Nothobranchius furzeri: one gene and its partner. The protein of the gene in region 1 purifies or fractionates together with the protein of each later gene. This does not show direct contact. Links are inferred from orthologs where the notes say so. Each region holds a gene or a part of one and is shown on either strand. Other genes may lie near its edges. The genes, in order: rims1b and erc2.

Region 1 (3,821 bases):
GTTTCTAGATCAGCCTGGTGGTGATGAGGGGGTCCATCCATCTTTGTTTGGTGAATGCAATTCCAGAGAAGGACAGAAAATCCCCGATAATCTCACTCCTAATGTGATCTTAATTCTTCCTCTTTCCCAGGAAAAGGCCCGTTTCTCTCCATGAGCAGAACGGTAGAGGGGGAACGGGACGCGGCAGCGGTCGCAGACCTGCTGGGAAGCTTCAGTCCCAGTCGTCACTGGACGAGCGCTCAGTTCCTGGAGACAAAGGAGAAAGACGGTTTGGGAGTGGACGCCGGCTGGAGAAGATCAATTCTCAGGACTATGAAGATGGAAACGAGAACCTGGGACGCTCAGGGACACACAGGAGACGCCCAGAGGATGAAGAGCAGAGGGAGAGACAGCGCTGTGAGGAGGAATTCCAGAATCGTTACCGGAGCGACCCCAACCTGGCAAGATATCCCGTAAAACCGCAGAAGGAGGAGCAGGAGATGCGGATGCATGCCAAGGTATCCAAGGTACGGCACGAACGGAGACACAGCGATCTCGCCATCAATGAGGTGGGGCTCGGTCAGAATGAGGGAAGCGGTGGAGGTCAGGTGCCTGAAAACCACCTGGCTAAGAGGAGCTATGGGGAGGTGGACCGCAAAGCCCACCCTGAGAACCGCCGAGCCTTTCCTGGAGACAGGACCGTGGGAATGGGAGGTGGGCCTCCACTTGCTGGAGAAGGAGGTCGATCAGGGCCCCAACCTGGAGGTCCTGGGCCTCCTGATCAGAACCAGAACAGCAGCCACCTGGAGCATGGTTCCGCTCGGGACAAATGTGGAGATAATCTTCTGAGGAAGAACTCCCAGAGCTCCGATCCGTCAGAGTCTTTACGGCCGCCCCCGCCGCGGTCCTACAAGAGCAAGCGAGGAATCAACAAGAGGCAGATGTCCATCAGCAGCTCAGAGGAGGAGGGCGGCTCCACGCCCGAGTACACCAGCTGTGAGGACGTGGACATGGAAAGCGTCAGCGAGAAAGGTCAGTCAGACAGATGTCCACTAAACCTGCCTGATGTGTTTGCTGTCATCATTTATCACATTAGACCCGTCTCCACCTGCAGCTGTTCGCCGTTACCCCGAAATTCCACTACCTCCGCTCCGCTCCGACACGAACGCCGGAGCAAAATCGGTCCCGTTGTAGTCAATCAGAGCAATTCCACTACTGCGGCCGTGCTCCGACAGTGCGACGCCGCTCTCTGTTCCGGCGTCCGGCAAAAATAGAATCGATCCTATTTTCGCCGGACGCCGGAGCACCTCCGCAGTAAATGGACAGAAATCACAAACGCCCAACAGGAAAAGGAGCAAGCACAATTTCCGTTTTTCACAATAAATCGATGAACAAAAGGCGTTTTTTGTTTCATATGCACAGGTTTAACAACTTTTAACAACTATCAATGGCGGCTGAAGTTTAAATGCACAAAATTAAGCCATAAATACAGTTTCTACTATCAAAGTAGTCACACTTTGTTGATCCAAACACTGCTGATCTCTCAACACAAATGATGGGCAGATTAAACAGTTCATTTCAATGCTTCTCCCACACAACGGGTGTTTGGATCTAACTTCCGCGTTTATTGCTCGGACTGTATCGCAAGATCTCGAAAATCCCGCGCATGCTTGTTTGCCCACCTCAGGTCTCCGCACCGGAGCAGAGCCGTTGTAGAGCGGGTACCAGTAAAAACTGAGTTCGGAAGCGAGCGGCTGCGGAAGGCGGGGGCGGACCGGAGCGCAGCGGAGCGGAGGTAGTGGAATTTGGGGGTTAGCCCTCACGTCCATCTCTGCATCACGCACCCCATATTTGGGGCATAAATGGCTTCCTTTACTCCTCTCTCAAACGTGGAGAACCTACTTTAAATGGGGGAGGAGGGCCTAGGTCTCACCTTTCCAAGCTTTGAATCTCATTCCTAAGCAGTTTCCGTCCAGGTCACACCTTCCTGCATCTAATCAACACGACGCTCTCTCCGTAGAGGCTAACGGCTCATCAGAGGGTAGCGAGGCAGGGCGTTCAGAGTAGTTTCTGCTCATTAAACAACATTAGACAGCTGCAGCTTGACTCGCTCATATTCCAGTCAGAACTGACAAAGCTCCTCGGATGAGAAGCAAAACATCTTCAAGTAAACCAAAGAAGTAGCCTAGTGAACTAGACCAAATTCTTGCTTTGCAAAGAAGGCATGCTCCATTGGAACCTCCGCTGCTCCTACCAGGACTCTGGCTAGCCAATCACAGCTCTCTAGAGGGGTTTCAAACACATAAAGAGCTGTGATTGGTCCATAATGGTGGGCCAATCATAGTGGTCTATCTGCTTAGTGAACAAATCACAGAGCTTTATCCGCTTTGTGGGCCAATCAGGGCACTCTATATGCCTGGTGGGTGGGATGATGCAACAGAGTGAAACAAGAGTACGTCACATTCATTGTCCAGTGGAATGCGGAGATCATTTGAAAGACAACGGTAGAACCCGCCCCACAACCGAGGGCCGTCAATGGAGCGTTGCCAGACTAAATAATAGCTTGCCAGGCTACCAAAGAAGTCCAGTTGCCTTCATTTGAACCGTTTTGGGTTACCATGACCCGAATGACCGAGAACCTTCACCAGTATGCCATCTCTGGTTTAGAGGACAGTCTACGATACCTCTACTGTCCTTTTATCATGCGTCTAGCCTTCAGTCAGCCTAAAAGAGCACACATCACCCCTCTGTAGCTCCACTGGCTACTGCTAGCAGCACACATCAAATTCAAATTGCTAGCACTAGCATACAAAGTCCTGGATGGTACGGCTCCCCTCTACCTGAATCCTCTCGCAAAGGCTTACGTCATGACCCGGCCGCTCCGGTCATTGAAGGACCGTCGGCTAGCAGTGCCTACACCAAATTCTTTCTCCCCCATCCCAACGCCTAAAGCTGAGGTAATGAGTCTTCCCGGCCCAGTAGCAGCAGATTAAACTCTCGTCTCTGTTTGTCATCTACACCTCTGTGCTGTGGATAAACCCTGCTGCTCTCAGGACAGCGCTCATTTATTTGGAGAGTCCCGGTGATTTAGGCCAGCAGATTTGTGGAATTAGGTCAGTGGCTCGCTGACTACGTAACGCTCCGCAGACATCCAGCTGCAGCAGCCGAGCACGGACCACCCTGAACCGACTGGGCTTACAGTGCTCTCTGGGAGCCGACGCCTTTTTCCTGCTTCTGGCAGAAAAGCAGCGTGGTGCTGCTGAAATCAGACGTCCTGTCATTTGTGCGTTCAGGAGGCAGCAGAGGGGGTTAGGAAGCACTCTATCAGCTTATCACGCTCACAGAAAGTGGCCGTTCCAGCTGCTTTAATCCAGATTACTAAAACTCAGGGACTGGTCATGTGTAGGTGGTGTGGATTGGGATTATTAGCTGTTTTAGACACTCCAGCTCAGAACAGGAAGTGATTCGGCTCTGTCCTGATGCTTCGGGTAGGGTCGTATGTCTGACAGTTTGTCGTCTAATGGGAGGTTATAACAAAACCTGAACAAGTACAATTATCAAATAATGAATTCTATATATACTTATTAAATTAAATGAGTAATTTAGTCCTTTATTTTCATTTGCTAATTATACCTTCATCTGTTTCACGTGTTCCTCGGCCATTTCAAGCTGCAATCGTAACTCTGGAAAACAAATTAGCTTAACCCTTTGATGCATAACGGTCACCACCGTGACGACGGTGATGGGGCGACGGTGGCACAGGAGTTAAGTGGCACAGGAGTTAAGTGCTCGCCTCACAATCGGAAGGTTGCAGGTTCGAGCCCCGCTCAGTCTGTCGTTGT
Region 2 (3,821 bases), on another chromosome or scaffold:
GTGGAATTTGGGGGTAAGACCTCCACCACCCTCTTTGGCCAAAATACCGCACTTGCAACTTCAGAATGCCGGTCTGGTCCCTAATGTGAAGCTGACATGCCAGCGCTGCAGTCTGCTTTCAGCACTTGTAGCTGTGGTCTTCTTAAAGTGTTACTCTGGATTGTAGTTACTAGATCAATTAGTGTGAAATAACTAAATGTATTTGTTATCGACATGCCCTAATTTAACTGTAATGCCACTTATTTATGTGGAAATATTTAAAAAATGTATGTTACTGATCAGTAAAAAATTTTTTGTAGAAAGTCAATATTTCCTCTTCAGTAGCTTTTTATGATTTTATTTTTAATAACAAAAATTAATTTATGTTATTCATTACTGATGGCTGCAGTTTGTTTCTACTTTATTCAAATGGTGATTCTTCTGTTTTTTATTAAGGGTTATGTTGAACATTTTTTATTTCCTCAGGAGAAGAGTTGATTAGCTGAAAATCACACATGCACAAAATTCTAGTGAAATCTATTTTTTTTACATTATTACTTTATGCACAGAATGTGAGCTTTAAAAACACCTCATTGTGGTTAATTTATAATCGAAGTGCACCAAAGTGATTAAATGTCAGGCTGCATGTTTTTGCTGATGAGCTCTTATAGAACAAGCTCTCTGACACTTGATACATGTTGGGTGGATATCTTTGTTTGCTCTGACACAAAGCAATCAGCTATCACTGTCAAAGAAGAGAAATGTGATGTGGGATGAAAAGTGGGGTTGTAAAGTTGTACCTTAAGTGTTATTTTGATTTATTTGACCAGTGGGGCATCTGAAATTATGTTTGAAGAATTCTGCATGCTGTGTGCAAACTGAACCACATAAGCGGAGAAATCCAGGCTTCCTGATGTGCAGTGTAACAGGAACTATTATGTATTTTTTATTTAAATGGTTATTTTTTTTTGACAGAATACTTTTCTCTGTTTCCTCAGATCTGACTTTCCAACCTTTCAGATGCGAAATGAGTCATCCATATTTCCTTCAAAGAGTCAGAGCCATCTGATTTCACCACGCCCCTGTTAAGGACCCTCCGGTGGCTACTCAACGTTGAATCACAGGACATGTACGGCAGTGCCAGAGCTGTAGGTCATGTAGAGAGCAGCCCTGTACGGTCCCCACGCCTTCCTAGGTCCCCCAGGCTGGGCCACCGTAGGGCTCACAGCGGGAGCGGGGGTGGTGGCGGGGGTAAGACGCTCTCCATGGAGAACATCCAGTCCCTCAACGCTGCTTACGCTACTTCAGGGCCCATGTACCTGAGTGACCATGAGGGCGTGGGCTCCACTGCCACTTACCCAAAGGGAACCATGACGCTGGGTCGCGCCACCAGCCGGGCCATGTATGGGGGCCGCTGCACAGCCATGGGAAGCAGCCCCAACATTGCCTCGGTGGGGCTGCCGCATGCTGACCTTCTGTCTTACAGTGACCTGGGCTCCCTCTCCATGCTGCACCCCCACCACCACCAGGGGGTGCCCTCCGCTCTCCTGAGACAGGCTGTGCGGGGCAGCGGTGGGGAGCTGCTGGAGATGCAGGCCCAGCTCAGGGAGATGCAGAGGGAGAACGAGCTGCTGCGACGGGAGCTTGACCTGAAGGAAAGTAAGTTGGGATCTTCCACCAACAGCATCAAGAGTTTCTGGAGTCCCGAACTGAAGAAGGAGAGGATAATGAGAAAAGAGGAGGCGGCTCGGACGTCAATCCTTAAAGAACAGATGAGGGTCACTCATGAGGAGAATCAGGTGAGAAACCCCTCCCTTCCTTTCTTCCATCCTCTAAGCGTTCATAATCCACATTTTACTGCAAGCTGCTGCTTGTCCATCTGCATTTCTGTTCAGATCTTTCATCGTGCTCTGTCTTCCTCTGCATTGATTGAAGTCAGATGTGTTTCTCAAGATGAATGAAAACCTTTCTGGAAAGAGATTATTATATGTGTAATACCTGTTACACTCACGTGGATTCAGAGTTCTTCTAACCACAGGAAACACAAACCCTTTAGAGTTGTCAACAGTATAGATTAAATCTAAGTTTTCAGATATTTGTAAAGAAGTGAAACTCAAGCTGTATTGAACAGCCTGAGCTCAATATAGCAAAGTTTTAGTTTATTTTCACAGATTCAGCAGATTGTTCCCAAAGGAAGACATGTCAAAAGGATTTTTTTGCTTACCTCAGTGTGTGGGTGGAGTCGTGGCCCAGTTAAATCACTTACTGACAAGAGTGGGAACAGGGCCCAAAGACAAATGTCAAGGACACTTAAACACTTCCTGTCTGTCTTTGTTTGCCTCTTTTATTTTATTTTTTTTCTGTTTGTGTTTCTGACTCTGATCGTCTCTTTGGGAAATACAGGCGATAAAAAACCAGCTAATTTAGCATTTAGTGAGAACAATGTTCTCTCTGTGTAAACGTCACCTCTAGGATTAGTAGTGGTTCACTCCCTGAGCGTCCTGATCTAGTAGGAAGGTGACGTCATCAGAGTTTCCCTTTATTTATTTGAGACAGGCCGGGTGATCGTGAAGCAATATGAACATTACTTGGATGTCAATGCTAAGTTAACCCAGTTTTTCACCAGCCTGTCTTCTCCAATCCTGCCATCTTATGCTGAACCAAGCTGATTAGTCATTACTGATGCTGTCACTCCACCCTTCGAGGTCATAGCGTGATGCTATTTGTGCAGGAGTCATATGAGATTAAATCCTTACAGACCGGTTTTCTTAAATCATTTTTTAAACGTAACTTTGTCAACTGATAGGATGCATTTAACTCATTGCTAAAATAGCCTTTAGCATCACATCATCAGTCAGTTTTCAGTCATCAGTCAAAGGCCAGAGGCATTCTGACTTTAGTTAAAGCTGATATTCAGTTTTTTCTCAGAGGGCGTCGCCTAGAGGCGGAAAAACGTATTGCACCTCTCCCTGCTTCTGCGATACCACTGAAAGCAACACCTCTTGTTCATTAGAGCTAAAACACATTGTTGTATTCTCAGATCATGCAGTTATTCATTTATTTATTATGACTTTATTGCTTTTTAAATTTTATTTCATACATCATGTTTATATTTCAAAGACATACTCGTAGATAAGGAATGTCGTCAGGTCTGCATCTGATTTGACCATGGAGATCCTTCCAACTCTGAAATGCAGGTCCAAGGTAAATTCTTCTCCAGTTTTTGAGATGCTTACAGCAAGTTTAGTCCGTAAGGTTTTCTTTACTTTGGTTTGTCTTTGAATAGAAGCCTTAATTACGTCACACAATGGGGTCAGATCAGTTTTATGGAATTCTAAAAATCAAACATAAGTCTTGAAATAGGGAAAACCATTTACTGTACTTATTATAGTATCTTGGCCACCATCTTGGCCGCATCATGCATTTAGTCACTCCCTGAAAATACAAAAATGGAGCTGAGTGTGGGGGCAGATGATTGTCACCCATCAAACTCTGAGACACTTTAACTACTGAGCTAACCGAGCCAACCAAATCTAACAGGGGTAGTCAACTTCCATTCCTAAAGACTGATATCCAACATGTTTTAGTTATTTCCCTGCATCAACAAACCTGATTTTAACCAGCAGGCTTCTGCGTTGCCTGATGAGCTTCTAAACACGCGAATCAAGTGTTTTGGAACAGGGAAACAACTAAAACATAATGGATACCTGCCCTTAGGGAAGGGAGTTGACTACCCCTGCACTGGGGTGAGAGGGGATCATGCACTGGCTTCACTTTTGTCAGGCAGCATTTGGTCTTTGGGGAAAACTCCAGATTGCTGCTTTAAAAAGCAGCCTTATCAC

What was found.
Region 2: the proteins of rims1b (region 1) and erc2 purify together in Homo sapiens (affinity purification with western blotting; 3 studies listed by BioGRID and IntAct, with this or other methods). This does not show direct contact. The link is inferred for Nothobranchius furzeri from reciprocal best matches to the Homo sapiens genes RIMS1 and ERC2.

Annotation. Positions count from the first base shown.
Region 1 is NC_091746.1:29,085,426-29,089,246, forward strand, and holds part of rims1b (regulating synaptic membrane exocytosis protein 1), read left to right. Parts: intron 1-130; coding exon 131-1,011; intron 1,012-3,821. UniProt on the Homo sapiens protein: Rab effector involved in exocytosis. May act as scaffold protein that regulates neurotransmitter release at the active zone.
Region 2 is NC_091743.1:67,385,425-67,389,245, forward strand, and holds part of erc2 (ERC protein 2), read left to right. Parts: intron 1-977; 5' UTR 978-1,106; coding exon 1,107-1,778; intron 1,779-3,821. UniProt on the Homo sapiens protein: Thought to be involved in the organization of the cytomatrix at the nerve terminals active zone (CAZ) which regulates neurotransmitter release. Seems to act together with BSN. May recruit liprin-alpha proteins to the CAZ.